Lepisosteus oculatus: one gene and its partners. The protein of the gene in region 3 interacts with the protein of the main gene of each other region in a pairwise test. Links are inferred from orthologs where the notes say so. Each region holds a gene or a part of one and is shown on either strand. Other genes may lie near its edges. The genes, in order: aamp, cox5ba, bhlhe40 and naa50.

What was found.
Region 1: the proteins of bhlhe40 (region 3) and aamp interact in a two-hybrid assay, tested with the Homo sapiens proteins (2 studies listed by BioGRID and IntAct). The link is inferred for Lepisosteus oculatus from reciprocal best matches to the Homo sapiens genes BHLHE40 and AAMP.
Region 2: the proteins of bhlhe40 (region 3) and cox5ba interact in binary tests that used the Homo sapiens proteins (3 or more experiments, as listed by UniProt). The two-hybrid records come from large-scale screens. The link is inferred for Lepisosteus oculatus from reciprocal best matches to the Homo sapiens genes BHLHE40 and COX5B.
Region 4: the proteins of bhlhe40 (region 3) and naa50 interact in binary tests that used the Homo sapiens proteins (3 or more experiments, as listed by UniProt). The two-hybrid records come from large-scale screens. The link is inferred for Lepisosteus oculatus from reciprocal best matches to the Homo sapiens genes BHLHE40 and NAA50.

What each region holds. Positions count from the first base shown.
Region 1 is NC_090707.1:22,069,779-22,077,142, reverse strand, and holds the start of aamp (angio-associated migratory cell protein), read right to left. Parts: upstream 3,022-7,364; 5' UTR 2,734-3,021; coding exon 2,646-2,733; intron 2,312-2,645; coding exon 2,171-2,311; intron 1,861-2,170; coding exon 1,741-1,860; intron 1,443-1,740; coding exon 1,303-1,442; intron 895-1,302; coding exon 750-894; intron 1-749. Other genes in the region: lactase/phlorizin hydrolase, read left to right, coding at 5,251-5,932, 7,090-7,169, 7,301-7,364. UniProt on the Homo sapiens protein: Plays a role in angiogenesis and cell migration. In smooth muscle cell migration, may act through the RhoA pathway.
Region 2 is NC_090697.1:71,875,910-71,883,762, forward strand, and holds the start of cox5ba (cytochrome c oxidase subunit 5B, mitochondrial), read right to left. Parts: upstream 3,005-7,853; 5' UTR 2,945-3,004; coding exon 2,848-2,944; intron 2,410-2,847; coding exon 2,339-2,409; intron 1,238-2,338; coding exon 1,138-1,237; intron 1-1,137. UniProt on the Homo sapiens protein: Component of the cytochrome c oxidase, the last enzyme in the mitochondrial electron transport chain which drives oxidative phosphorylation.
Region 3 is NC_090699.1:54,736,385-54,743,416, reverse strand, and holds the start of bhlhe40 (class E basic helix-loop-helix protein 40), read left to right. Parts: upstream 1-4,022; 5' UTR 4,023-4,445; coding exon 4,446-4,522; intron 4,523-4,676; coding exon 4,677-4,740; intron 4,741-5,018; coding exon 5,019-5,126; intron 5,127-5,794; coding exon 5,795-5,918; intron 5,919-6,392; coding exon 6,393-7,032. UniProt on the Homo sapiens protein: Transcriptional repressor involved in the regulation of the circadian rhythm by negatively regulating the activity of the clock genes and clock-controlled genes.
Region 4 is NC_090700.1:4,084,620-4,092,415, reverse strand, and holds the start of naa50 (N-alpha-acetyltransferase 50), read left to right. Parts: upstream 1-4,793; 5' UTR 4,794-5,116; coding exon 5,117-5,124; intron 5,125-7,796. UniProt on the Homo sapiens protein: N-alpha-acetyltransferase that acetylates the N-terminus of proteins that retain their initiating methionine. Has a broad substrate specificity: able to acetylate the initiator methionine of most peptides, except for those with a proline in second position.

The DNA of each region.
Region 1 (7,364 bases), on a different chromosome or scaffold from region 3:
CTCCATCGTTCACAAAGCATTGCCAATAACAGAAATTTATTTGGTTTCCTCATTAAGTATTTTCACAGATTTTATTAATTGGAATGAGATTTGCAATTCTCTAATCAGTAGTTACAGCTCCCATCCTTAACATAAAATCCTTAAGATCTATGGTAACTGCCCTCATGTCCATAAAAAACAATTGGGAAAATATAAAAACAAATTGGAATTGTGAAAACTATTATGTTTGTTTTATAGTTTCTATTTGTAACATTAATATAAATAAAACATACTGTTACCATAAATGTTCTATTTTTAATTCCATGCATATATTTGATCACATTAGACCAAAAACAAACTTTGTGTTTGTTTTTGGTCTAATGTGTGTTTGGTCTAAAACCTTGTGTTTAACCTAGTGCGTAAATATCCCAGTTAATCCCAGTGTAGTTTAGCAGTTTTTAATCATCCAAGTCTCAGTGTCAGTTATGCTGAAACTACTCAGAATTCAAAAATAAGAACATAACTGTTTTTAAATATTTTAGGTGTATTACATATTATTATTGGTTATTTCTGAATTAAACAAAAACCAATATATGTTTTCCTTTGCATTGAAGGATAGTAAACCCCCTTTAAGATACAAAACGTCACCACTGTCTTCCTTTCCTGTTTTAAAACTGCTTTTTCCTCAGGGTACAAAGACATAAAGATGTGCAGTTCGACACTTGGCCCACTTGAGACTAATAGCGAGACTTTTGCCCTGAATATCTTACCATCGGGCAGGAATTTTCCACTTGTGGCCTGGCAGCCTGGCCCTTGGAAAGTCTTACACTCCCCGCCTGGGATCTTCCACATCCACACGTTACCATCTGCTGTGCCAGCCAGCAAAACAGGGGCACAAGGATGCCATTCTAGCCACTGAAGAGACAAACAACCACACCGCCAAATCAGCCACTCGAACAAGAGGGAGTTCTGATAGCGGCAATGTGACTACACTTAGCCAAATTATTGAAAACTAGGGTTTGTCAGGGAAAACAAAAAATCAGGCAATATTAAAGTTTTACACCTCCACACTAAAAAGAAGTATTTTTCTATCCTCACAAAATATTTTGGAGGAAATATCTGAAAGCATATTTTAGTTTTTCTGTATAAGCAGATTCACACTATTACCAGGACTTTCCATGCAAAACTGCAGCTGAACAAGGAGTCTTTATTTAGAGGTTTAACGGTATATTAATACCTGAAGTGGTTAATGAAGGCCTTTATAAATTACATTCCGGGGCATTTGGACAGCCAGGAGTCGTTTAAGTGAGCTAAAGTACTCACCTCCAGATCTCCCACCTCAAACGACCAGACCTCTTCCTTAGTTTCCACCTTCCAGACCTTGATGAGGCCACTCATGTCTCCACTAGCCACGAGCTTGGAATCATGACTGAAGGAAGCACAGGTTACAGAGTCCTTGTGGCCTGTCAGAAAATGTAGTTTGGTGTTAATAACTGTCGTTGTACACTGAACTATTAATGGGTTCCTTAAATGATTTTTTGTTATATAGTCCTCATATAAATTCTGAGTGTGACCGCAAAAATAATTCAAATTCATAATAATGGCATCTAACATTTAAGAAATGCAATCAGTATCCGTATAAGGCAATGCCGGATGCCCCACTTTAAGCCAGTTAAGTTCTAATTATCAATCTGATTGATAATAAATGTAGTCAATTAATAAATACAATACATTTATACAAATAAGTATATGGAAAATCACCTGCACACTCTAAGACAACTTCTCCATCATTCAGCCTCCAAACAAAGGCTTTGTCATCTTCTCCACCAGTGACTGCCAAGCTGTTAGTGGCCGGGTCTAAACTCACACAGAACACAGATCCTGGAAACGAATATTAACATCAGTATTAGCAACGCATAACAATTACAGTAACAATAAGACTTCTATTTATTCATAGTTTACCTGGACTTATAAAATGAAAAGCAGGAGGTCTTAAAGCCATAAAATAGTGAGTAAGTCGTGTAAGGCTATACTTTGCTTTTATAAATGTCAGTTCAACAATGTTTCTATATACTACTAGGTGTCAACAGTCGTTTACCTACATTTCCTCATATCTACTACTAATAGCACAGGAACACCACAGTACGTCGTAAAACTATCGACTGTTTCCTCACATATATATCGTTCCTACCTGTGTGCATGGAGAAGGTGAGTTCACTGTCATCCTGTCGAGCTTCCATGTCCTCTTCTTCAGTTTGCCAGCCCTCATCATCTGCGAAATCTCCTCCTTCCTCACCGAAATCGACATCTTCAATCTCGTTAGCCAAGTCATCTGGGCAAAATACAAAATGAAGCCCGTTGGGTACCTCATAACCCTTCCCAGCATACACATATGAATCTATTAGTTTAAACTGTGACGCAAAGCATTTGAGAAAACATGGGCATATTTGCATTATGCATGCTCCAGATCAGATATATGTAATTGTGCACATACAATACGCTCATGAAAAATAAAATATATATGAACTACGTTAAAACCAAAGAAGCGTAAAAGGAAAACTGACAATGTATATATTCATCTACTGAAATTAAGAAACAATTTGAAAATCACTGACATAATGCAGTCATTTCAACATGGCACACTGAGTAGTATTCAGTAACATTACCTGGCGTCTGTTCCGATTCATTAAGGTCAATCACTTCAATGATTTCTTCGTCCCCGTGTAAATCTACAGCTCCTTCGGCATTATCCATTTTTCGGAATAAAAAATAACTGCCTGTTAAGAGAGCTCTATTTTATGAAAACAAAAACTTAAATTACAACTAGCTAGAGATATGGACTATAACACGACGAATATTACTGGAAATCACTCATAACAACATTAAGGGCTGATATAGCACTTCGTTATATTAGAAATAGTAAAAGTCTGTTTCCAAAATAAAAATCCATAACAATCTAAAAACACTAATAACTACATTCACACTCCAGTATCTCTATCCTCACGTGTTACTGCTACTATTGAAACTTTAGCGTGGAAATCTGATTGATAGGTTTCTGATCCAATCACAGTGCAGTGAAAAAAAGTAAATGTCAATAGCATTCTGGAATAGGCGGGGCTTCCTGTAGATGCAGCTAACGGGTTTGGTTGAGGTGAATAACCGGAAGTGAGAGCTTTATGGGAAATGAAGTGTATTCTAAGTAGCTATATGGTGAACAAGCTAAATGTTTCTCCGAAATTAAGAATGGTTGAAATATCTAGTTACTTGGTCTATTTTTAGTGTTTAAATTATTGAATAATTCATGAATTATTTGATTATTCATTATATGTCCATTTCTACATTTTTTCATTTGAATAGCGTATGCTATTTTAAATATAAAAATTAAGAGTCTACTATATTAATTAAAAAGTAAAGGTATTATAAAGGTACATACAGTATATTATTGGTAAATTATGGGAGTTGTAGAAATGATTTCAATTCCCATTGTGGGGTATAAAAATGCAATACTGTCCAAATATTATTCTAAGATATTATTTAGGCTTGCATTTTATTTCTTTCTGTTTTTCATTCACACATACAACATTCATTTTGATCATCATGTGATGTCTTTGAAAAGAATAATTAATATTTAACTACACTTCTGTTGCATTTTGTATCCAAAAGGGGTTACTGGGGCTACCACCTCCCTTAAGAGTACCACTCTTGCAAATTTTGCAACTCACAACCGACAACCCACTAAAGCTAAGCAGGTCAGGGCCCGTACCCGGATGGGAGACCTCCTGGGAAAAGCTAAGGTTGCTGCTGGAAGAGATATTAGAGGGGCCACGTAACCTGCGATCTGTGTGGGTCCTAATGCCCCAGTATAGTGACGGGGACACTATACTGTAAAAAAATGTCGTCCTTCGGATGAGACGTAAAACTGAGGTCCTGACTCCCTGTCATCATTACAAATCCCAGGGCGTTTTCCAAAAAGAATAGGGGTGTTACCCTGGCATCCTCACCAAATTTCCCATTGGCCTTTATGAATCATGGCCTCCTAATAATCCCCATCTATGAATTGGCTTCATCACTCTGTGTCACGATCGTAAACCCCTCCTCTTAAGGACGCTCCAGCCCTTTCTGTTTTATTCCTGATCTCCTGCACCTGCCTTCTTGCACCAGTGCTATAAAAGCCAAATGTTCCTGCCATTCTGGGCTCAGCTTTGGAAGATGGAAGCCCGGAAGCCCACCTACTTTTAGATCAGAAAACATTATTGATTAAAAAAAATAATAATTATGTCACCATTTCACTATATCACATACTTAGTTTTTCAGTTACAGCATGAAATCAGGCATTTCTTAAAATCCCTAAATCTATAAGACAATAAGTTCTCATTCTCATTCATAATAATGTTGACCTGAAGAATAGTCTATACAACAAATCATGTACTGGAGCACTTTTAGTAAATTATCTTGCTCAAGAGTACAAAAATATATTCGCTCAATTTGAAACTACAACAATTCAGTCTGATATCCACAGTGCTAGACCCTGTTTGTGTTTACTGAACTTCTACAGGGATTCTTGCTTTCAAAGTGATCACTACATATCATCTACTTTGTTTTCATAAAAAAAGCCAGATGCTGAACATGCACCAATTTATGTCATTGGAGCTTTGTATCATGCAACCATTAGCACTACACTGGCCAATAATTTTGTTACAAGCTAGTTTTTCCACAAGAAGAAATCACAAGTTTATACAGTACAAAACAATTGTTAATTTTTGGAGCCAATCAGTGAGAAACAATAAAACTGTAAAATGTACAGACAAACTAACTGACTTTGTTCCATTCCTTTGGAACGTGGCTCCACCTTTGTTTAAAATGTTCTTTAACAATAGTTTAATTACTAATATTTCTTTATTAACGTGCCTTTGCCCTTGCACGTGGTAATGTATATTTCATGGTAAGGCAATTTGAGAAATTGTTTACTGTGAAAAGATTTCTGCATAGATAAGTAACTCAATCTGAAATGATAGAAAAGCGAATCAAGCATTGACATTTATGATCAGGCCTTAACATACTTTAAGTGCAGATAAAAGTGGCATATCTCTTTTAGGTAATCTGTTTTAGGGCTATAAAACACAGATAACTAGTTATAGCCCAGTTGTTTTTTTTAATGCTATGACAATGCAATTGTAAAAAAAAAATTGCAGTGTGAGATGGTTTAAAGGTTTCACACAAAACGTAAGTTTATGTGGCAATAATAGCTAAGATTGTCTTCACACAGCAAAGATGAGGCAAGATGTTCAGATCCTTCTTCTTCTCCTGTTACCATGCACTTGCTTTGGCAGTGGGGTCCAAGACCAAGAAGAATTTATGCTCCTTGGGGGTCCCCTAACTAAAAACTTTGTGAATGCCTTGAACCGAGGAACCCTCAATTTTCAAGCATTGGCTTCAAAGATTCAGGGGGAAGGTGAGGCAGAGGTCTTTAATTGTCAATCCCCCCTGCCCCCTTCTGCTCAATACTATTTCAATTACCTTCGTTCAAGAGGGATAACTCATTTTAAAGTGATCCTTTCCTGGACAAGCCTCCTGCCTGAAGGTGATCCGAAGAATGCTCACCTGGAGACTCTCTCCTGCTACAGGAACTTCCTTGCACAGCTGTCAGAAGCCACTCTCAAGCCTCTCATAGTGCTGCACCATTCAGGTGTGCCTGAGGTCTTGAAGGCAAAACATGGAGGCTGGGAAAATGAGACATTTGTGAGTCTTTTTGAAGAATATGCCAAATTTGTATTTTCAAGTTTGGGAGGTCTTGCAGAGTCCTGGATAACATTCAGCAAGTTTTATGAGATGATTGAAGAGGGACACCAGAAAGATTCGGTCTCTTCCAGCCTTAAAACGCCTGTATTCGAAAATTCTTTACTTGCCCACAAAAAAGTGTACAGTCTTTACCACCAATTACTTTCTGCTAAAGGTAAGAATTCATCTGGCTCTAGTGTTAATACAATGTCATGAATATTATATCAGAAATATCCTCATTGAGGATATCAGACTACTTTCGAATTATTTCAGATGTGTAAACGAATGTATTTTTCTGTAGTTAAGCTCTTGTCTTACAGTCAAAGCAAAAATAGTTAATACCATTTAAAGGACAGCATTGTATAAAGGCCTATTGTGTTTTTATCTGAAAGTCTGTAGAACAAAGATCTCCTTGCTGTTAAGTATTCTACATTTTTCTATAATTTAACTTAAACCAAAAATAACTACTAAAAATGTATTTCCATTTAATTGGTCTTTAAACAGTCATAACTACTACAAAAGTTTGACTTAAAAGGGCAAGGACAATGATGTATCTGTGTTAAATTGTTAATTTTCCAATGAACTGATTCAGATTTTCATGTTCTAACAGTATGTTTTGTTTTACATGAAAAACAGAATATACCATTATTTTTTAGTCACAAGTCACTCCAAAGGGTTCTAGGAGAAACCTTTTGGACTACAATTACAAGTCATATCTGAGATTATTTATCTTTGAGTAAATGCAACTCTGCAGTTTTTATCTTTATTTCATAGCTTACAAAGGTCGAAATTATATAATGGATCTAGTATAATAATGTTTAGCAGGGGAGTTATGGGGAGGCACATATAATTTTCATGTTTTACCTGCTTGAGTACACTACAAGTGTTCAGACATACATTGTATAAAACTGTGAAGAGGCTTCTTATAAAGTGGTTAATTTACTATAACAATCTAAAATCTAAATCTAAAAGGTCAATTATGGCATCAGTCCTGCAGGATATATACATCAGTTACATTTTTTATTTTCAATTTTTTTGCCTTTTTCTACAATGCTCAATTAGCATAACAGTATGTTGATAACATGAAATATTAATTCATAAGCTTTGAGTGCAACTTGCTAAAAGGTATCTCTGATTTTTTTACTACTGCAAAAATTGATAGTGTTCTGGTACATTCATACATTCAGAACACTATCAATTTTTGCTAAGATACAATAATATTGTAAAATAATATTTTAGGAGTTTAACCCAGTAAACCTATTTCCTAGTATTCTTAAGATAATACTTTTTTATGTTTCTCTAACAACATATGCTCTTTTAATATTCTTACAGGTGGACAGATCTCCCTTGGAATGAAAGCTAGTGACATTAAGAGAAAAAACATTTTTTATCAAACTGACAATATGTACAAGGTAATGATGAAGCAGGTATTTAATGCAAAAACATGAAAATCTGTATTAAGTCTGATGTCCAGACACATTCATGAAGTGAATGTAACAGAAAGTATTAAGGAAATATTATTAATATTATTTTTTTCATTTAGGGATTTATAGATTTCCTTGCTGTGCACGTCAACTATGACTGTAAATTGGAAACAAACTTGCAGG
Region 2 (7,853 bases), on a different chromosome or scaffold from region 3:
CTGATTGACTTTCATTCAGAAACCCTAAAACGTTTGCCAGAAGGAAGAAGTTGGTATTCAGAATTGAGGATGTGGGAAGGATCTGATATAATTTTTTCTGCCTGCTTGATTTTGGCTTTTTCAAAGATTGTCTGCAGGGAGGGGTGCTGTTTCACTCCCATGACCTTCAAAGCTGTTTGGATGAGACTGGTAATTTGCGATATTAACTGAACTGATAAAATTACCAAACCACACTGTTATACCATATCTAATAATGCTCTCGAGGTGATGGGGATGAGGTGAACAGTATTGTGATCAGAGTTAGACAGGTGGTTTGACTTTGGCGGTATAGGCTTGTTTTATATTACTGTAGCATTTGTCAAGAACTCTGTTCCCTCTTGTCCCACATTTGATATGCTGTTCAAACCCAGGCAATGCCATCTCCAGTTTACAGTGATTTAAATCCCACAGGATAACACAGGAGCTTCCGTAGTCTGCCGGATCTGCATATAATAATGTTACAGAATTCTCTCGGGAGGTGGAAAGGCCTCAACATTTTAATTGCAGATAATCTTCCTCACCGAGTACTGTCTGCACTACATATCGTTCACAAAGACACAAACACCACTGCCTCTACTTTTCCCAGATGTTTCACTTCTATCTAAGCGAACATGGGAAAACCCCTAAATTTCCACAAGAGAGAGTCGGGGAAGTCTGCTTCTAATTAAAGTTTTTTTTAGTTTACAAAAAGTTTAGAAACAGGCAATGTAGTTTGATAATGTCCTCCTTTAAGCGAAAGCAGACAAAACAACCTTAAGGAACATATAGCTAGTAAACTTGCTGACTTATTTCACTGTCAGTTGTTTGTGATCAATTACAGTTATGAAAGCAAACATACTGTAGGAAAGAGACATCATAAACCAGAGAGATCATATATACTGTACAGCTAAACCCAGTAGGACATACTGGCAGGACTAATATTTTCCCTGCCTTCCCCACTTTCTTTCATGTAAAAGAAAAAGTTTGGAAAAGATTTGAAAAACAAATGAGAAATGTCCAACTATCACCAGTCTTGAGCTATTTCCAGTTCAAAGCGATGCCTGCTCCAGAGCGGCTGTAGAATACAGAGAGGAGTAAGACAGAGGCGTCTGGACTTACAGATACAGCCCACGATTCTCTTCTTGTTAATGGAGGGCACGAGGTGGGGATCCTGCTTGGACCCAGTGTACGCCTTGGGCTTGAAGATGTTGTAAGGGTCCTGAAATAAAAAGTTTCTTTAACTTTCTTTAGTTTAACCATCAAATGTTCATTAATTTCTATTCTTTCATTTTTTTAAACTACATTAAACAGGATAAACTAAGAAAGAAGAAAGAGAGCTGAATCAGTTCGTTCTGGATTTCTTAGGCACACAACTGGCAAGCTGAAACACATTTCGAATCAATCTAGGCATACGAACAAACAAAACTACCGATATATCCTGCTATACATGAACTCAATGTCTATATCTTTTTACATTACTAACAACATTCTTAAGCAGCCTCCACCTGGCTGGACATACTCTTAAAAGACTACCACTTCTTACTATATAATATAATATATTTTAAATTAAAATTGTCTCTACAGAACCGTAAAATACGGTCATTCATTCTTTTTCTTAAAGAACAGGGAATTGAGTTCAATATATTTTAAAACTATTACATATAGTACACATTAGGCTGTAAAAATGTTCTGTATTGAAAATATATTCACAACATTCGTACACTGTTCTTGAAGTTTATATTAAACATATAGAACTCAGATGTGTTTTTGTTAAAACCTGTTTTTTTACATATGTATATGGCAGCCTACCATTACATTATTATTGTGGTGATTACTTTGATTTACATCGTCGGCACATCAAGCTTTTCAGGAAACCGTCCTCACAGTTAAGCAGGATATACAGTACCTGTAATTAATTAATTCTAGCTATATGTACCCTGTGATCTCCATTAACCAATGTCCAGACAATGACAAAGTACATGAAAAGAGTTTAAAATTGTATTGCACTTTTTTTTAGAAAAACGCGACCCTGAACTTATGGGGGCCAGTGATTCTTGTAAAAGTGAAAGTGAAACAATCATGGCTTTTAATACAAATCTTGGTTTAGGAGTAATAAATGACACTTTAGAAACGTACAACAAATAAGCTATTAATAGTGAAACGTATTTAAATACATGAATAATCAAACTTTATATTTAATCCGTATGACCTTGTGCCCCATCTTGCCATGAATCTCTGTCTTATGACTATGCGCCTATCCAACTGATTTTATTAGTGTGGCAATCCAGATGACAATAACTATACAGTTTCAGATGCTCACCGCTCCTGTTTTCGATGCGTTGATAATTTCTTTCTCCAAACCGGTAGCCTGTTCTTCGTTGGTCGGAACGCCTGTAGATAAATAATTGCGCAGTTTTGGGGAAATAAAAAACTAATAAACACACTACAACGCTACCAGTTTTGCGGAGCAGAGATATGTAATATGATTAATTTGTAGTAAACTGCGCGTTTTGTTTAGTGTAGTTAAATAACGTGTAATCCATTTCCGCGTTTCACAAGCATTTAAAAACTACAGGAAATCATACAATTCAGTTATTAAAATACTATTGTCCAAACTCCGCTTGTTCACATTAAATTGATCTCTACAGAAAAAGGTATCCCATATAGATTTATCAAAATAGCACTTTGCTTTCTAACAACCCCCGAACTCAATGAGGCCTGTTACTACGATTGCCTTTGCCTGCCCTTGGCAGAAAAACAGCTTAACTGAAGTCAGCCCCCACGTCTTTGCCTCGGCGATCAAGCCGTCTGCCTCGCCATCTCTCTCACCTCCTGCTGCCATGCCGCGGGTGAGTACCGAGGCAGGGGCCGCCCGACAACAAGAAGCCCCACGAACGGCCGATCTCAGCAATAACCTTGCAGCCATCCTCTCTTCTCCACCTCAGATGAGAAAATACAGGAAAGACACTGACAGAGCGCCTGTGTCGACTGTCGCGGAGATATGACGTTGAAGTGCGTGTGTTAGTCACGTGACGCTGGCTGAAAATGCCTCTTTTTTAATGAGCTGGATGATTGTTGGACGAGATGTTTATGAGAGTATTACATTTAAAGAGAAGAGCAAAAAAACCTGTTTCAGGGATGTCGTTTTTACGCGCCTTTCCTATATCATGTAGTTTTTTTAATATCAAACGGTAGAGTTTCATAGACAAAAAGTAATACACCGTTATTGTGCTTCACACTAAGAGTCATAAAGAGGACCTTAATCAAGGGCACTGGTCATCTAACAAGACTATCAAGAAAATTAAGTTTATATAATAGAAAACATAACTCTTGTTTTCAAAGTGCAATAATTATGTAGTATCAGTTAGATTTCATACAAATAAACGTACTGTGCTGTGATGGTGGCCTACTTTAGACATTATTTTAATTGCACTTTGTTTATTGAAGTATAGGTTTTAACTACCAGGAACTACTCTGAAATGTATTCAGTCTCCTAATTCCCTGTTTGATTTTACAAAAGAAAAAGAGAGCTAAAATAAGTGTTAAAATGAAAATCACTTACACATATAGTAAAGTGTTAATACTGTGTACTGTCTGTGAGAAACAGCCTTACATTCAAGTGACAGTATTGTGTTACTGGGGGGGTTAGAAAGTAGGTTCATTATCCAAAGAGATGAGTTGAAGTGCGGTGAGAAATAAGAGTAGAAAGAACCGACTATAAAGAAAGTTTGTAAGGGCTCTATTTTCCTTACAGGTTGGTGCATACGACGCAACAGGGAATTGTCTCATTTCTTAATGAAATTTAAATAACAGCTGGCAGCTTATATTAAACAACATCAAGAAAGGTAGTAAGAACTGATAACTTTGGTAACATACAAGGGGTCATTTGCTGACATTATTGCTATATAGGGTAAAAATGAATGATCAGACAGGGTGTTGCAGGGGCTAACATTGCAGCCTCACAGTGCTGGAACCCTGGGTTCTATCCCTGGGATGCTAACTGTGGGGAGTCTGTGTGTTGTTCCTGGTTTTGCCTGGGTTTCCTCCAGGTGCTCTGGTTTCCATGCTGGTAGGTTCATTGGCCTGTTGGTCCTGATGTGAGTGTGTGTGTGTATTTGTGTCTGTGTGCACTCTGCAGTGCACTGGCATGCTGTCCTGAGTTTATCCCGCCTTGTGTCTTTTGTTGCTGGGATAGTCTCTGGCTCCCTCAAGCCTCAATTGGATAAAGTAGTTAGAGAATGGATGGATAGATATGCAGTATGGTGTCCAGGGCAGAATGACATTAACACAACAGGACAAAAAAGTATTCCAGCCGTGGATTCTCTCTCAAACCCTTGTTTCATTATTCCCACTATTCTTCTTTGATCTCCCTGGGAATCGGCTACAATAAATCCAGCCCACCTTAATCTGCAAGTGTGATCCTCTACCACCAACAGCAGCAAAAGGCCCACTATGTTGAAAACAGCAGAGAGTATGCTTTTGTACTTGATTGTGTAAACATTGGCCTGCTTCATGAATGTGTACTTCAGAAGGTAAGACAGATTACAGGCGAGAGGGGGCCACTTAGCCTGTTTAGCCCGTTGGCTAGTTAGCGGTTCACTGATCCAAGGCTCTCATCCAGCCATTTCTTGAAAGAAACCAGGGCAGCAGCTTCAAAAGCATCGCTGGGCAACTCGTTCCATACTCCCATAGCCCTTTGGGTAAAGAAGTACCACCTGCTCTCAGTTTTAAATTCACTTCCACATGATTTCCATCTGTATCCTCTGCTTTGAGTTTCACTGTTCATTTTGAAGAAGACCTCTGGGTTGACTCTATCGACCTCAGTTTGAGGATAGAGGACATAGATAGAGGACACCCAAACTTTGAGGATTTTGAATACGTCTGTCTGTTTCCCCTGCTGTCCTCTCTGTTCAAGAACAAAAATGTCAGTTCCTTCAGCCTGACAGTGTAGGACTCTCCCTTAAGCTCATATATCTGGTTGCTCTTCTCTGAGAACAGCAATATCTTTTGAGTAACACGGTGACCAAAATTGTACTCAGTATTCTAAATGAGACTTTACTTGTGTATTATACAATTTTAACAAAACATTTCCTGATTTACATTCTACAATGTAACTTTATATTCTAGTATTTTGTTTGCCTTTTAAATTGCTTTCGAACACTGTATACAATATATAAGTGGCATGTTAGCATAAACACAATTCTTTTCCAAAACCTCTCAGTTCTGTTGTGGGTTATTTTTAATTGACAGCTCAGACTAATGCAGAAAGGAGGAGGATTTTTTCCATGATTCTAAGGAGGAAGATTTTCGTGACAGCTGAGCCATACTTGTTTTATGTGAAAAACTATCCACCGGCCAGAGAAATCCGTTTCAGATTTAGATGTATTAACGTAATTTTCTCACTAGAGGGCGGTGTGGTGCTATTTAAGAAACCTTACTGTTTCACACTTGACAAAGCAAACAGCAAAGTACTGTAACGTACATTTTAATAGATCTAGAGTCGTGACATACAGAGACTGATCATAAATATTGACTTGTATTGAGGCATGATTTGTTTTATGATTTCAACAACAGACAACAGATAAGTCTCGCACAAGGTGCAGAATACATTTGGAAAAACATTGAGCTCTTACACACCAATTGCGTCTTGCACTCTTAAGAACTACAATTATTTTGGACAAATTCCTAGAATGGGACGTACATCCATTTATGTCCAAGTGACAATAGTGAAGGAATTGTTAACATAAGGTTCTTCTTTAAAGGCTCAGCTGTGCCTTTGTTGCCCAGTTAAAGGAGAACTGCAGTCCCAATTTCTCAGACCCGTCATTAAATGTTGGTAACAAAATTAATTGATGGTATTGAATGTTTTTATGAATTCTCAATTAAGCACAAAATTTGTGAAAGAACTTTGTGAAAGCAATGTATAGTCACCATATCGCTGCAAACCGCTGGTCTTTCCATGGGTGAGAGTAAGAGTTTGAGCGATTTGGGGCGTGAAGCAGCCCTTCCTGCTCACCAGTCCCTGCAATGACTAATGTAATGCGATGTATGAGTGAATACGTACAGGCTGTGCAGCAGACATTTCACCACAGAAATGGTGTAATGTGATCTGCATTGCAAATTTAACAAGTACATTTTATTTGTCAGCAAATCAGTTTCAAAGTCAAGACCAATATTTCTATTGAATTAAATAATATCCTTACACTTATATAGCTCTTTTCTGGACACTTCACTCAAAGTGCTTTACAGGTAATTGGTACTCCCTTCCACCACCACCAATGTGCAGCCCCACCTGGATGATGTGACAGATTCTTCTAACCCCTCTAATATAAAAATAGCAGGGCAGTTCCCCTTAAACCTTCTATGAGAGTTGCTCTGTAAAATGTGCTAGACTTGCGAAATCACTATTTATGGATTTGGCTTTCACTTTTATGCAAAGCAGCCTGCATTAAAATCTGTTTATACAGATGTATATTTTCCCAGTGTCTTGCTCAAGGGTATAACAGCAGTATCTCACCTGGGATCTGAACCCACAACCTTCCAGGCTCTTACATTTTAAATACCCCATAGCACAGTGGTATTTTCCATTCCTCATATAAATAGTGTGGTATGAATACCAGATCCTCTGTGTGAATGTCTGCATCAGCATCAGATGATACTGAAAGCCAAATATATCTTGCTTGTGTTTATTTCTTTATGCTGCATATAAAGTAGCTGTGTTTCAAGCTTGCTCACTTTAATACAACATGGGCCAGTAGCGGTTCAACGCAGATACAGCAACAGAGAATCATTAGGAAGAACACACACAAGCAAGAAGTGTAACAAGGACACACAGGTTACAAAACATTGAGAATGAAACCCAAAATATGTTCCAAGGGTTTGTTTAGGATTCCTCATCTGTTGTGTGTTTTATAATTTACAATCCTTTAAAAGAGCAACTGAAGACAGGAAATTGAGAGTGATTCACATGGGAATTATGTAAGAGAAGGTAATGTGAGATTTGGGGAAGATGTTCTTGGCACAACCTGCAGAATTTCTAACTGCAGCCTCCCAAGTACACACTTTCTTTAGCTGGATTTAGCTCAGGTCTTTTTTCTACAAGTATAAATCTTTCATGGGCCTGAGCTCCATGAAATGTGTGCATGGTGCTGATCAGCTGTATTGCACATGCTGTACAATAACATCTTGTTAGGTTTAGCAATTGCCAAATGATTTGGTGCAACTCAGCTAGGAGATGGGACATCCCCTTGGCTTTTGTAAGCGGTGTTTCTGTATTACTCTTTATCTTTTTCTCTTTTCTCTGACTTTCTAATTTTCTTCACCTCTTCAAAGAACAGTGAATTGGAGGATTGAGAGTCAATTAGTGCCCTTTGATCCCACTGTCTGTCATGTAGGTGTTCACATTTATTCCACTGAGGACATGAGAGAGCAGCTAAACCATTTCTTTAGTTCATCGTCTGCCAGTACGTTTTACTAACTGATCTCTCCAGTGTCAATTAGCCTGATTGCCTCTCTCGTCTGTAGTGTCGTTGTGTGCCCTCTTACCCCCTCAGTGCATATAAAGATGTTGAATTTCACACAGCAAACAAAAATAACCTCAACAAACATAAATATTGGCATCCTGTTTCTAAAATGATTAATTCAATGGAACATGTTAACTACTTCTAGTTAAAATGAATACTATTATAATTATAGAATTAGATTTAATGAGGTCTTTACAGTTTCAGAGGCTATGGAGGGAAAACTTGGCAAAGTTAAATGTGGTTCCCTGCTCTCTAAAGCTCTGTAATTTTCCTCATTCTTCCCGTATTTATCCCAGGTCAGAGTTCAGAATA
Region 3 (7,032 bases):
CCAGGCCTTTTAGGGCTTTAGAGTAAAAAAGTCCTGAAGTGTTTTTACACAGATGGAAAGTTATACATTTCTGCAAGTTATCAGTGATGTACATTGGTTCACAGAATGAACAGTGAAACACAAACCAGAGGGCACGAGTGGAAACTACAAAGAAGTACACTTAAAACAAAAACAGGAGGCTCTTCTTTACCCAGAGGCTTGTTTCAGTATGAAACAATTTACACTGCCATGTTTTTGAAACCGATATACTGATTTCTTTCAAAAAAAGGTCTGGATGAGGTTCTTGGATTAATTAATTACTAACTGCCAAATGGGCTAGATGGGCCAAAAGACTTGAAACCTTTCTTATGTTCTTCTGTATTTAATCCTGAATATGGTGACTGGACTAAAAGGCCATTCACATTGATGCCACAGATTTTTGTGAATGCTCTGATTTGTTTAACGTTTTTTTCAGATCAGATAATAAATAATGCATAAGGAGCCATGTAAAAAAAATAATCCAAGGACTAAATAGTTCTTTAAATTGTTATTGATAAAATAGTCCTTTACCAAATGCAGACATAATTACACTACAAAACCGGAAATCCGTGTAACGCTATAAATGTAAACCATTTTAGACATTTAGCATCATCACGATGCTCCCAAAACATAACTGCTATTTATGATAGTGTTATAAAACGTACAAACGCCATTATTTTTTAACTGGGTAAGATATACCTTGAAATACAGTTCTTTTGTCTTCAGACACCGTCTTTTGTACATCTGTACTTTTTCTTGGAATGCATTGATACCAATACAGCACCCAGATAGGGTTTACAATTAAGCAGACGGGTTTTTGGGAGGTTGGCTTACGTATACTGTACAGGTGAGAAACATACGGTGCAATGTTAGGCTAGGCAAACCTGCAGACCTGTTTTTGCGCACACATACTGTACATATTTTTGTCGGGAAATTAATTGGTTTCCATTGCATTTACGGGCATTTTGGGTGTTTCCTTTAAGAGTGCTAATATCGATACGTTTTTTTGGCTGATGGCTTATTATGTGATGCTAACTATTCAGCGCGCAGATGAATTATAAATCAGGTGTCAAGAGTATTTTTAGTTGCTCTTTCGGTCTTGGCACTCGCTGGATGCCTTTCAGGCTTTGCAAAATTGAGAAACGCTGCTTGCTTTGGATTTCATTACAGTCGACGTTTCCAGGAAAACCACAAGGGCGCATGAATGCATTCATTCTTTCGCTGGTTTTATGGAACCAGGCAGAACGGCAGCATCTTGCCGATTCGAGATGTCCACAACATGATGTTGCTCTACGTCCTGTGAAAAAGGTTCAGACACTCTAAATGGTGGAGGTATCCTGCTGCTTCGCGTCACTCTGTCACACTGGAGTTGGTGCAATCATGATCTCACACAGAGCATCGTGCTTTTTAATCTTTAAACAAAAAGATTAGAGAAATGTATTTTCCTGGACCTTCTCTAACCAGATCTGAATAAAATACATTGCAAATACATTGAAAGCATGCACATTGTATACAGTCACTGTACACAGTAAACGGGCATTTTCTTTACCGTCTTCGAATCGTGAATTTCAATGCGTTAAATGTGTACTAAATTGTCGACAAACCCCAGATTATGTTGGCTAGTAGTTTTTAACGGTATATTTTATTTTTTTTCCTGCCAAAGAAAATTAATAAAATGCTTCATATTAATCCTGGGGGGGGGTTCCTATTTGGATTTTCCAAACGTCGGATACCGATATTAAATTTATACTGGCATGTAGTACAGTCTGAGGAATACATTGGTGATTCATTACTTGTATCTGTTAAACTAACGGGGAATACGCGGGATTTTGTTAAAAATGTGATTAAAAAGGCACAGCTATGGATCACGTACTGTTAAAACTGGGAAAAATAGCTTCAACGAGTGCGCGCTCAGTGGCGACTTGCAGATTGCAGGATTTGTACCTCGTCTGTCACTGTCGGGTTTCCGTTGTACCAAAAACGGTTGTCGGCTGTTCTTTGGATTGGCAGCTACGGCACCAACTAGGCGAAAGCACGTTGTTTGCAAGGCGCTGGTCATGCAAATCAGCACAGGCGGCGCTGGCAGGGCTGTCTCAGCGTGCCGGGTGCTCAGGGTTTAATGAGTGGGTGACGTCAGTGGCAGGGATCTGGTTCTCCTCTCGCTGCCATGAGGAGATCAACGTGACTGCTGGTGGTGCACTGAGCAGCAAACCGATCTGCTACAGACACATTGTCAAACAGGTGCACGTGGATGGGCAGATGGAACCAACACGAAATAACACCGTGTCTGCATAGGTCCTACCCAGATAATATGTCGAGTAAACACTCAGGTCCCTGAGTAAACACTATTAAAATGCACACCACTGGGTGTCTGACTAGAAATCACAGCTTGTGTTAACCCATTGTGTATCATTCTCTATTGCATTTTTCTGTAGTCCATTCTGACATTTAGGTAGCAGTTTAGTGTTATTTACTCACCGGCTAGCTCTCCTCAAATATACATAATACAGACATTAACTAAAAACCGTGAAGAGTGGTGTTTCTGCCTTAAAGTGTAAATTGTGAAGTTGAGCAAGCTGTATTTTTAAATTAAAGCACTCTCAATTCAACCCAATTTACGAATTGCAAGAACATTTAATAAACACATTGCATTTAGGTTCTACACGGAGAAAGCGTTATATTATTCAACTGGAAATGTTTTCAAAGCGTTTGCCCCTCACACCATATTATAAAATATAGCTGAAAAAGTGGACCATCTTATTTTTCTGGTTTTGAGTAGCTGGATAGCTAAACCGATAAATTATTCTAAGTACGGTTTCGAGACAAACCAACAAGGGAGTAAACATAATAATGCATTATACGGGATTTTCTGCTTATATTTTTTCCATTTCAGAATAATATACAACTAGTTATTTTAATGGCGAATTCACATCGACTTGAATGTTGTAAATGGCTGTCGACAACAGAACACTAAGGTAAAAGAGAACGGTATACAGAGCTCACTTCAGCCGAAAGGATTAGATCTTCACGCAATGCAAGCATAGCCGTATGTGGTTACATATCATTTTGCATATATAAAAAGCGCAACTGTCTTAACCCGAAGCTTCAAAATGAAATGAACATCTCTGATCATGCTAGTCTTCAGTAACCTTAAAAGACCCGCACAGCTGCTAAATGAATTGCCTGGTATTCACGTTTGTAGCAGGAATTCGTATTGCGCTAAGACTAGGAGTCCAAAATCTTGCGTCACAGATCAGTTAACTTTAGTAATGCTGTCTGCACTGCACTGTGGTCACGGTACTTAATATTAGTTAATAGCATTGTAATTTTAAAAATTTTGTCAAGCACGATTTAGAGGTGAACTAACTATGCAGAAGACATTCCGTGGTTCAAGGTTGGCACAGCCTTGTCAGAATTATATCGTGCATACCTAGGAAATCCTAAAAACGTGGCGTCGCTGATTATTGGTAACATGACAAGCTCTATTCAGATTGCCGTGAATAACATCAGCGTTGGTATAAGAAAACCTCCACGAGTCAGAAATCCACACAGAGATTTTAATTAAAAATGCGGAGTAGCGACATAGCCATTGGAAAAATGTACTATGTTCGACATGTAGTTGATAAAATTTGAAAATAATCGCGACACTTCAAAGGCACGGGGTGAGGTCGAGGTTTCTCATTTTTGGAAAGAATATAAGTAGTGTCATGTTTACCGATTTTAATATTCTTTTATATGATTTCAACATTACATAGCAGCATGCAAGATTAATCGATTCCCTTTTAAAATCGGGTACTCTACCCTCCCCGATTTCTACAATGCCGAAAACCTCATCTGTAATGAAAAGTCTTTGATGCTCCGGGGATGCTGCTTTGTAGCACACTTAAGTGGAGCATGGTGGTACACGGGACACAGAAGTGTGACGGGGGCGTAACGTTTTCGTGCAGATCCTCCTTAACAAGGAAAAAAAAAAGGGTTGTTCGTAGTTCAGTTGAAAGTGCTGTCCAACACGTGAGGCTCATGTGACGGAGGTAGGTCAGTTACTGAGCTAGAGACGTGTCTGTAGTCACAGGGTTTATTTAACACGTAGCCCAATCCACCCACTCCCATACATTTAACCCAGCCTGCAGCTTCAAACTACAGCCGACTGCGCTTTGGATCGCTGGGTGATAACGTCGTGAGCGCTGTCGTTCTGCTTTTCAAGAGACATCGTGGATGATGAAAAGTAAAGCGTAGAACAATAAGCAGCTCGCAAAATCTGAAGAAGAAAAAACAAAACGTCAGAGCAAGAGCGGTCTTTTGATTTTTTTTTACTAAATCATATACACTTTTCATATTCAGTTTTGCGACTGAACGGGAGAAACGAAAAAAAAAAACTTTTGACTATCGTACCTTGTTTCACGTTGGTTTCGTCGTCAGAAAAGAAAATGGAAAGGATCACAGCTGCGCAGCCACCCCCTTGCATGACAAAACACACATCGTTGGAAATCCCTGACATGCAAGGGTATGTACGTGTCTATTAACAGCTGGTTTGTGCATTTTCCAGTCTGCAGTTTGTCTCTTCTTCTGTGTGTCGCGCAATTCGTGCAAGTTTGATAAAGTTAGCCGTTCTTCAAATGCAGACATCTTATTTTCCCCCGTTTTCATATTGCTTGTAGAATGGATTTCCCCATGTACGTGTACAAGCCCAGAAGGGGAATAAAGCGAGGGGAAGACAGCAAGGTACGAAACGCTCTCTCTTCTTGATTACAATTTGAAATACCTTTCTGGTGGATCTTTTATATGTCATTTGAAAGCTGTTTTTGTAAGTTAAACATGTATTTAATCGAGGCATATATCATTATTTTGATGTATGCTTATACCATATATGTATGTATTTAATGGGCTAAAAATGCAATAACGTAAATATAATTTTAAATTAAACTATGTAAACTTTACATAGTGTACTTAAACGTGCATACTTGAACAAGAACCTAACTGTTGATTTTTTTTTTCTCTAGGAAACTTACAAGTTGCCCCATAGACTCATTGAAAAGAAAAGGCGTGACAGAATTAATGAATGCATTGCTCAACTTAAGGATTTGTTGCCAGAGCACCTTAAACTTACTGTAAGTTAGAATTTGGAATAAAGTCAATTCTTTTAAATAGAAATCAACTGTGGTATAAAGCGCCATCTGCTTGTTGGCGTAGGGTTTTCTTGAAGGGCAGCTGACTTTACATGGGAAATTATCAAGGGAATGGATCAAAGCCTTTCTTCGATTTATTCATTCGCCTTGACATTACATAGCTTCTGCAGTTGTACCGAAAGTACCGAAAAGTTCCACAGGATAGGATCATAGGTGCCAAATGGCGTATTTGAAAATAAAAATTCTAGTATATTTTTTGATCGGATATGAAGTGATTATAGGTACGGTAATTGTGTTAATATCACTTGAAAATATGGTTATGTGGAAACAATATAAACACGGGAATCTTTGATATTCAAAGGCTTTTTAATTAAGTTTTAACTTGTTGATAAAAATGCTTCTTTTAAAATTACCGTTCGGTGCCCATCCTTTAACAATTGTAACGCGTAATTGTATGCACTTTGTTGATGCGTTACAAATATTGTACGATTTATAGTTAGAGGGATTCGTATTTTTACTTATTTGATATTTCAAAGCTCTTGTTCATTCTATCACGTTATTCTTAAACTGCTTTTGATGATCACAGGTTTGTCAGCCACAGTTTGTTACATAAGTTATCTGCGTGCTTATCAGACTTTTTTTATTTACAGACTTTGGGCCATTTGGAAAAGGCGGTGGTTCTGGAGCTGACCCTAAAGCACGTGAAAGCCCTCACTAGCCTCTTAGAACAACAGCAGCAAAAAATCATCGCACTACAGAATGGATTGCAAGTCGGTAAGTAATGTGCAACTTCAAATGTAAATGCATAGATTAATAGATAACAGCATACGTTTTTGGCTTTTGATTTTATTACGTTTATTGAAAGGAGTCTTTGCAAAGGGCGATTGCATGTGACATTTCTAAGCTGCTAAATCAGGAATAATATGTAAATATAAGCCTGTGCGTATCATTCAAAACGTCATGTCTGAATGGCAAAATTCCCTTGAAACATTCTATTCCATTAGACATTTTCTGCAAGATGAAATGTTATGTCTTTTCTCAGAACTCGAAATAGCTTTTCAGTAGCAAAATCCCAACATAAAAATTAAATGTTTATTTACTGAGTAGTGCAGTAACTTAGTGAATAACCTTTTAATACGGGATGTCTGCGAGCATCTTGTATTGAAATTAAGTTCCAGTGCAACTATTCTGTGACGGTCAGGATGATTAATTAGAAGTTCCTTCTTTTTTTCTTTTTTTTTTTTTAAGGTGACCATCCAGCTCACAGCCCTGACGTGAGCGAGGAAATGTTCCGGTCTGGTTTTCACATGTGTGCAAAGGAAGTTCTGCAGTACCTGGCCAACCAGGAGAGTGGACGAGAGCTGACCCCTTCCCATATGATCAACCACCTGCACAAGGTAGCGTCTGAGGTCCTGCAGAGAACACCCAGCCCCCGAATGGAGGATCTTGGCCTCAAAGCTCATGACCACAAAGAGAAGCCTGCCGGTTTGCAGCCCAAGATCTTCGAGGGTCACGGGAAGAACTGTGTGCCCGTTATTCAGAGGACTTATCCCCAGGGAAGTGGGGAACAGAGTGGAAGTGACACAGACACTGACAGTGGCTACGGTGGAGAGCTGGAGAAAAATGACTCAAAAATGGAGCGGCAGTACTTCGGCAAGGAGAGTGAACTGAAGTATGGCTTAGCTGACCGAGTGGCAGGCTCCATTAAGCAAGAGAGCGATGACCCGCCAATGAAAAGAATCAGGACTGAGTCTTCAGAGGAGGAGTCCCTCTCTGGCGGAGAATTGCTGGGGAATAACAGTGGCTTTCTAGGCTTTTCTCCACACCAGGCTCCGCTCTGCATGCCTTTTTACTTGATCCCACCCTCAGCCGCTGCATATTTGCCCAT
Region 4 (7,796 bases), on a different chromosome or scaffold from region 3:
AGCATTAAAATTCATAAAGGGTCATTAACCCTGGTACTCTGGCTCAACTCCAGTCTGGACCTGTACAACCTGTCCTTAGATTTTACTCCTAGTTCAACTGGAGGAGCAGTTTCTCGCTCCTCCACCTGATCTTCTGTGTTGGTAAGATGCAGACGCCAACCACATGGGAACTGTACTTTAATGGTGGATGAGGTGGACCCCACCATTTTGTAGAGAGCTTTCAAACGCCTAGGGATGAGAAACGCTATAAAACGACCATTTTTCAAAGAAGGGCTGGAATGAAATCTAGGAGGGGCTGTGACCCCTGCAGGCACGATACCTAAAGCACAAGAGAATCACCCCTCTTTCTACACACCCCCTTCCACAGTACTGCCACACTCGGACCGGGACATTCTTTTCTTTCCCTGCCTACAACTCACAAGAAGAGAAGCCTTCATTAAGCAGAACAGCCCAATTGATCCTTCACACCTTCACAGGCATGCCTGGTCATATCTGTTAAAACTGCAAAAAGAACAACAACAGTTACCACAGCTCGGCAGACAACTGATGACAAAAGAGAACAGAAAGTCCTGATTAAGGACAGATTTCCCCATGTTGCCACATGCAAGCCTGCACTTCCTGGACTGCAATCCATTACAAGAACCCGTCACAGCCATTTCTCCATCCACCCTGCCGCACTCGATGAGCTAGCGGAGGATCAGGAAGCTGACCTCTTTGTTATATACCTGACCTGCCACTACATGCATTACAACTCTGGACAACATGTGTTCAGAAATACCAGCACTTCCTCTCCTTCCTCAAGTGAGGTCACTTTACTGTCTATCTGTCTATGTTTTTGCAAAAAGCAGTTTATTCCTGGCCAGGGTTGTGGCAACCCTGCGTATATCCCAGTGCCAAGGGCACAGGGCAGGACCACGCGAAGGGGACACACACGTGTGCACAGGGGGCACAACTTACAGGAACCAGTTACACAGGTCAGGGTGACTTTGGAAGGAAGGAGGAAGTCAGGCACTGGAGAAAAAAAAACAACGTAAACATGGAAAGAACATGCAAAACAGATTTGTTATTTTACCAACGACGTACCTGCTGCACAGAAGACCTGTGCGAGAATGAAGTGTCACGGTACCTAACACTGGTTTCCTGCTGTACTGTACCTATCCATTGTGCTACAGGGCTCCTGCTACACAGCTCTTTGCGTGAAGAGAGCTGAAATGAAAGCCACGCAGAGATTTGAAGTTGAGATTTGGCATTGCCAACGCACTGGCTGGGCTGCTGGATGGACAGCCTGCATGATTTACGCTCACCCGTGTGGAGACCGACCCCCTGATGTGGGCTCCAGCTGAACGAATAATGAACTGATCGACAGTAAGGGGCTTTGGGAAAAACGTCTCACTGCTCGGCTCTCAATGTGGCACCCTCCCCCCTCCCGGTGCAGCTGTGTGATCAGGCACGGTCACGTGACCTCCTCTGGCTCTGACTGGTCAGTATCTGTGGTTGGGCTGCACGTTCAACCACTGATAATCTGATCTGGGCAGGGGTCTGGACACAGTCTTCACTCAACTTGGCCGTTGGTACAGTATTGTTGTCTGTTTTGTTAAGCACCTCATAAGACGTTTACTTGGAGGCTTTGCCCAAGATCAGCATGTTTGCGCAGATTTTGCGGCACAAATACAATCTGGTGCAGATGAACATGTGCAGGACACCAGCCAGCAGCTTTGGACCCCTCGGGCCATCATTAGACCTAAAGGGGGACCTTTGTTTATCCAACCCAGACCTATGCACTGAATCACAAGGTAGCGATTACATGACAGTGGAACAACTGCATAGGATCATGCTATAAAAGAAAGAAACATTAAAGGAACTTCCAAAATGGAACAATGCATCAGAGTCACCTTCTCATTCACGGTTATGACTCACTTACAGACAGTTTCCACTGATCTTCCGTCAAACCCACCAAGTTCACTAACACTCCACATCAAAGCACAGTAGTGCCAAAAGTGTAAAATTAAAATCGGGATCTTTGACCCATCCCTGAAAACTGCTCATACTTCATTCACAGGAGGGTAGTAAGCACATGCTCTTGAAGCATTCCTATATAAAAAAAGGCACTGGCTCGTTGCAATGCAGGTTCTGAAATTAGGTTCGTCGTGAGACTGACTCACCGCTGTGCTCCCCTACCACAAACCCACCCAGCCGAGGTTCTGTCACTCTGGAGCTCACAGTCCCGCTGCGTCACAGCGCACGAGGCTCAATGGACACCTCCAAGCCTCTGTCCAGCTTGCCGTCAGCGATGGTGAACCATCGCCAAATGAAATGAACAGGGCAGGTGACTCAAGGGAGTATTGAGGGTCCTCAAGGGCACAGACAAAGTCAGCCCAGTCGGCCTCTTCTGAACGAGCAGTGAAACAGGAACTAGAGGCCAGTGCATTGGAGACGAAGAACAGCAGGCACTCCTGTTTGCCAAGTCAAAGAGTTTCAATGAGTTCTACTATTACAGCAAGGGTCCTACTGTGCCAACAAGAGCCCATCTGGAAAGAAAGCCAGCAGGAGTGGGGGAACCCCAAAAGCAAAGCTGGGAACCCCTGCCTTATCCTGCATCACCCGGAATGGAAGACCATACTCGGGGCACATCACCCTTACAATATCCACACCACTTTTATGTAAAACAAAATGACAAAACTGCTAGACCGATCAGATGATACAAATGGACTACAATACAATACATCATTCATAATAGATCACTCCGTTTTCTACGTCAGATCATAGAATACATTTTAGGGGAATGCAGTTCTGATACCGCCCGGCATGTGATGGACCCCCATATATCTGTTACGCAGCAACTGTACACCCAGCCCCACTCCAGACACCCCATAAAGATGCTGAGCGCCCTTCGGAAAATTTCGCCCGGTCTGCTGACTCGATCACATGACGTGTCGATCGTGTCTAATACACATTTGTTAAGACGAGCCAACCCTCCGACAGAGCGAAGGCAACTAAATGCATAGACGGGGAATGAGACGGTCACCGCTACAGTTCAGTCCCGTAAAACAGGCCGATACCTCTGAGGTCTGAATCCGTTCAACAAAATCTAGTCTAGGGTACTTCGTCTCAGCAATACCCGTCAGGATACGTTAGCTATCCTCCATCGACGTAAACACGCAACACATTCTTAACTTGAGACATCTTTCCGCATTGCAATTATTCCTATTCCTCTAAAACTGAAACCTACACGACCCCTGGCAAGCCCAGCGGTATTTACCAGCAATGCGTCCGAAAACACGTTTGCACCCACGAACAAACCTCTGTTGCGCAGTGAACTCGCATCTTGACACTTCAAAAATACGATCGGCTCTGTAATTGTGATCGCTCAGATATTAGCGTTCATCGAAAAAGCGTAATCTAAAATTATTTCATAATACGGTATATCACACCGAGTCTCCATCTGACGAGCACAACATGCTAGCCGATATGGAAGAGTGTCTGCTAATAATTCAGACGCTTACTGGACTACAGTACGGTTAGGATGTTTTAATACGACTGAAGGACCGATGTTGCATTTTGTTTTCAATTATTTTTTTCACAACTGCCGTACAGTGCAATGGTGGCCGAGGACGGTTTCGACAGCTAAAAGAAAAAAACAAAAACGAAGGCCTGTGACAGTACTGCCGCACGAAGCGTGAAATGAAAATTGTTTTAATTTATTCACATCAGAAACCCGCAGTGTTTATTTTGCACATATGGATCAGCTGTCCAGCCTGTCACTTCAGCGGCGCATAGGTCTGCTACCGACTTACAATCTGCATTTCATTGAAAATGTAATTTAAGACACGCAGCAACACAATAAAACCGGCTAAACACATACAAAACAGTGATTAAAGAGTCAAATACCGTTACGTTACCTTCGAGAAACGAAATTATTTAAAGCTTTTTCTCTCCCTCCTCCAGCAAGGAACTTGTCAGCAAAGCGAGAGATCGGGGAGTCAGCTGACTTCATTCACCGCAGGCTGAACTACCCCTTCGACAGGAGAGGAAACTGACACCATACTGGCTCAAAACTGGATGCTGGGCTGCACCGCTAAGCTAAGCCGTTTCTAGAGCCAAGATGGAGATGATTTAGGCCCAGTTTCGTCACTTCCCCTATATATTTCGCACCCTCCGTCAAATTGAAAGAAAACAGCATTATGGGATATTGGAGGAACTTTATCGAACGCGTGTTATCCAGTTTAGTTCTTGATAAAATAATTTGAATAACTAAAACACTATTATGATTCATAAAGGATGATGTACTTAGCTTTTAACTATTCAAAAATATGCGTCTCATGTAGGGAGTCATTATCTTACCAAAATATTTTTTAAAATATTAACCCGTAACCGGCGTCCCAAATTTATAATAACGTTAGTATACTCGAAAACTGTTTTTGAATAATTGCCATTGAAGATACCAACAGTAGCTGTTAATAGATAGCCTGTCAGTAAAATAACAGATTAGTTAGTTCATTAATTTCCATAATTGCGTAAAGAAATATTCAGATATATTACGGGAGGGCACGTGTGTGTATTTCTGGTCACGTGATCTATCCGATTCGCTGTTGGATTAGATATTTTCCTTCAGTTCAACTCAAATGATTTTTAACATTTAAACATACTGTCGCATTTCCTCGCAATCAATTTATTTTTTTTAAATGCGGTCGTTAAAATATTTTAATCGAAAACGGCAACGTCGGCCCGAGTCAAAGGTCACGGCCTTTGGACGTTTTTTAAAAAAACAGCCGTTAAATTCGTCGCTTAATCGAATCCCATTTTCAAAATATTTTCACGCACTGAAAACCGGTCGCAAACCGCGTCAGGGTGGCGTTGGGGGACGGGCAGGCGGTTTTGGGGTCTCCGCGGGGGAAGGCAATATTTTTATCCGGGGTAGGGGGGTGCGGAGCGAGCGGGGTCAGAGTTCAGCCGTGTGTGTGTGTGTGCGCGCGGAGGGGGAGCGAAGTTGATCCATGTGGTTCTGGCTGACAGCGGTGCTCAATCCTCACCCGAACTCAGCCCGAATCCCCCCCAAGGACGAGCCGCTGCCCTCCGCTTTGACCGCGACACCCCCGGGAAACAACTCCTGTCCACCATGAAAGGGTGAGTAGGCGCCGTCCGCCGAGACGCCTCTCTCCCCATCACGGATAAAGTTTTTTTTTTCTCCTCTTTTCTCTCTCTCTCTTTTTTTTTTTTTTCCGGAGAGGGGTGGGGGTGTTGCGATGAGCTTTGCTGTGTGCATGCTCGCCTGGTGCTGCTGTGGGAAGCAGGAATCTGCCAACGCCAGCAGAAGCGTTGTGACCGCCGGGCGCCTGGTTAGCGAGCGGCGAGTGTCGCTCCTGTTTTCTCATCCCCAAGATGGCAAAAGTAGGATCGCTGGGGTTTTGTTTCCCAATCCCCGTTTTGGTTTTCCCTCGCGAGGACCGGCCGAAAAACAAAACCGCTGTTTGTTTTAATCGGATCCCTTCTGTATTGTGTGTGTGTGTGTTTTTTAAAATGAAAATAACGTAGAAGCGTTTGCTGTTGTAAATATTAATTTTCAAGTCTCCCCCCACCCCCCTTAACTTTATAACCAGTGTTTTTTCTTCCGCCTGTGTCTTGATAGTGAAAGATCCTTAAAACAGTGTACTAAATGGGTTAACGAAGGTGTGTTTGAGCACAATTGTCCGTTGGATCCCTTCTGAAGTCACGCAGTGGGCGATATCGGACGCAGGTCGGTTAGTATTTGGGGGTGTAATAGCGCTTCGGCCGACGTCTTCGTTGTGTATCACGGTTGCGTTGGCTAAAAGGTTAAGACACGTTCCCCCGCCCCGGGGCGTCACCAGTAGATCGACTGTTATTTGTTGTAGAAAAATCAACAGGTAAAATCCGGGGGGGGGGGGGGTCCGGGCGCGTGCGGGGTCGCCCAGCCCGGGACGCCTTTTGGCGCGCGCTGCAGCAGTAGAGGAAGAAACCCCCCCCCACCCCCGCCACGAGACACCTGTCCACACCTGTCTCGTTGTTTACCCCCCCACTGCCGGGTGGGGAGCGCTTCCCTGGCCCCTGTGAAGCTTTGACCCAAAAGCTGCTTTTAAAAGGGCGGTTCGGAGGTAAACCAGCAGACAGGAGCCTTCAGTGGCCGTGTTATTGGTTGACGAGTGCATGCTGGGTGGGGGTTCGTGAACATGATTCTTCACGAAGAGAAAGCAAAACCAATTTAAGTGGGATGTTGTTGTTTCCCCCCCCCATTCGCAGTGGAGTGCAGGCGAGAAGATGTATCTGCAGGCAGACCTATCAGACACTCCATACAGCATGTCTGCAGGTGTCTGTGTCTCTCCCGATCCTGCCTGTGCGTCTGGGCTTGCTCGCTTGATTGAGGTGTTGGACTGTAACTGAAGGTCACTGAGGGGGGTTATAAATGAGAGGAGGCCCATCCTGTTCATTAACCAAAAAAACGTTGGTACATTAAGAAGTTCGCAGAGAGAGAGAGAGGAGGCCATTTGAGTGAAAAAGGCTACTTCGACGCCCCTGTACAAAGCACTTGTTTCGGACAAGCCCCGGGTTGCCCTCCGGGCGAGGCGCTGCAGCGTGGCATGCGCTGCGGGGGGCCCTGGACAGAGCGGGGTCCTGCCAGCGCCGCGTGCCGCCCTCCTGCCGCCAGCTGGTGCGGTATCTCGTGACCCGGGCAGCTGGTTTAAAAATGGAGTTCCAGCCCCGGCCGGCCCCTATAAATACACCAGGGCGCGCGCTGGGCTCGGGGCTGCCTGGGGCACAGGTCCAGCCAGGGCGGGTGGGCCCTGTGCCGAGGAGGGGGCAGCTCTCTTCCCAGCCCGTCGGCCGTGCGGTCGTCCTGTGGGGGTTCCTGATGCAGAGCTCAATAGGAGAACAAGGGCCAAGTCTGACCTGAGCTGAGCAATGGATGTCCAACTTGGTTCTCTTCGCTCGCTGCCTGAGACTTTTCTCCTCAAGTCTGCGCCCCCTGCCATCGACAGCAATGGCTGCCCCCTGCTTGCTGAAGTCTTTTTTTTTTTCTCGGAGTTACCCAGCTGTTTTTGTGTCTTGCTCCCGTGTTTCTGTTTTTCTGCACAAAGAAACGGAAGTCGACCCTCGGCACGCCCGTGGCGTGGTGAGGAACTGAGTGCGGTGTTCAGCACCGGCCCTCAGATCTCGGCCGCCAGGGAAGGAGACGGCTCAGCTGCGGTATTGTGGACGCTGCGCGGTGCCCAGGGGCATCCTGCAGCAAAGGGGCTTGAACAGTTCCTATGGAACAGGCTGAGCAACACCCTGACTCGAGGAGATCGTTGGATCAGTTTGCCTACTAACCACCAAATGGGCTGGGCCCCTCTCATTTGTGACAACTCGGCTGAGAGACTTCGCTTGCCTGGAGCCCATTCCCACTGCTCTGTGAGCTGGGGTCCGGCTCAGAACCTTCTGCCGTGCAAACAGGAAAACGAAAAAGGCAACAGTAAACGTAACTGCACGCCGTCGCTTTGAAAGAGAACGGGACTGTAGTAATAATGGCCGGGACTGGGATTTGAAGAGAGGTGATAGTTCTGAAGTGGTGCTAATTTGTGCAGTTGTGAACCCAGCGCTCACTTGCTGGACATGGTTCATAGTTTTTCTTTGCCCACATTTCCATGACCTTTGGTCCCCTCGTTGAAGAACACATCCAAGCTCGAAGACTCTGGGCTCGGTCTGGACTGAGAGGAGGCAGCTGTGCCAGTCCTGGAGAGCATGGACATTGGCGGGAGTGCGTCCAGCTCCGCGGTGTAAAAGCTGGCCTGGCTGTGGGCTCT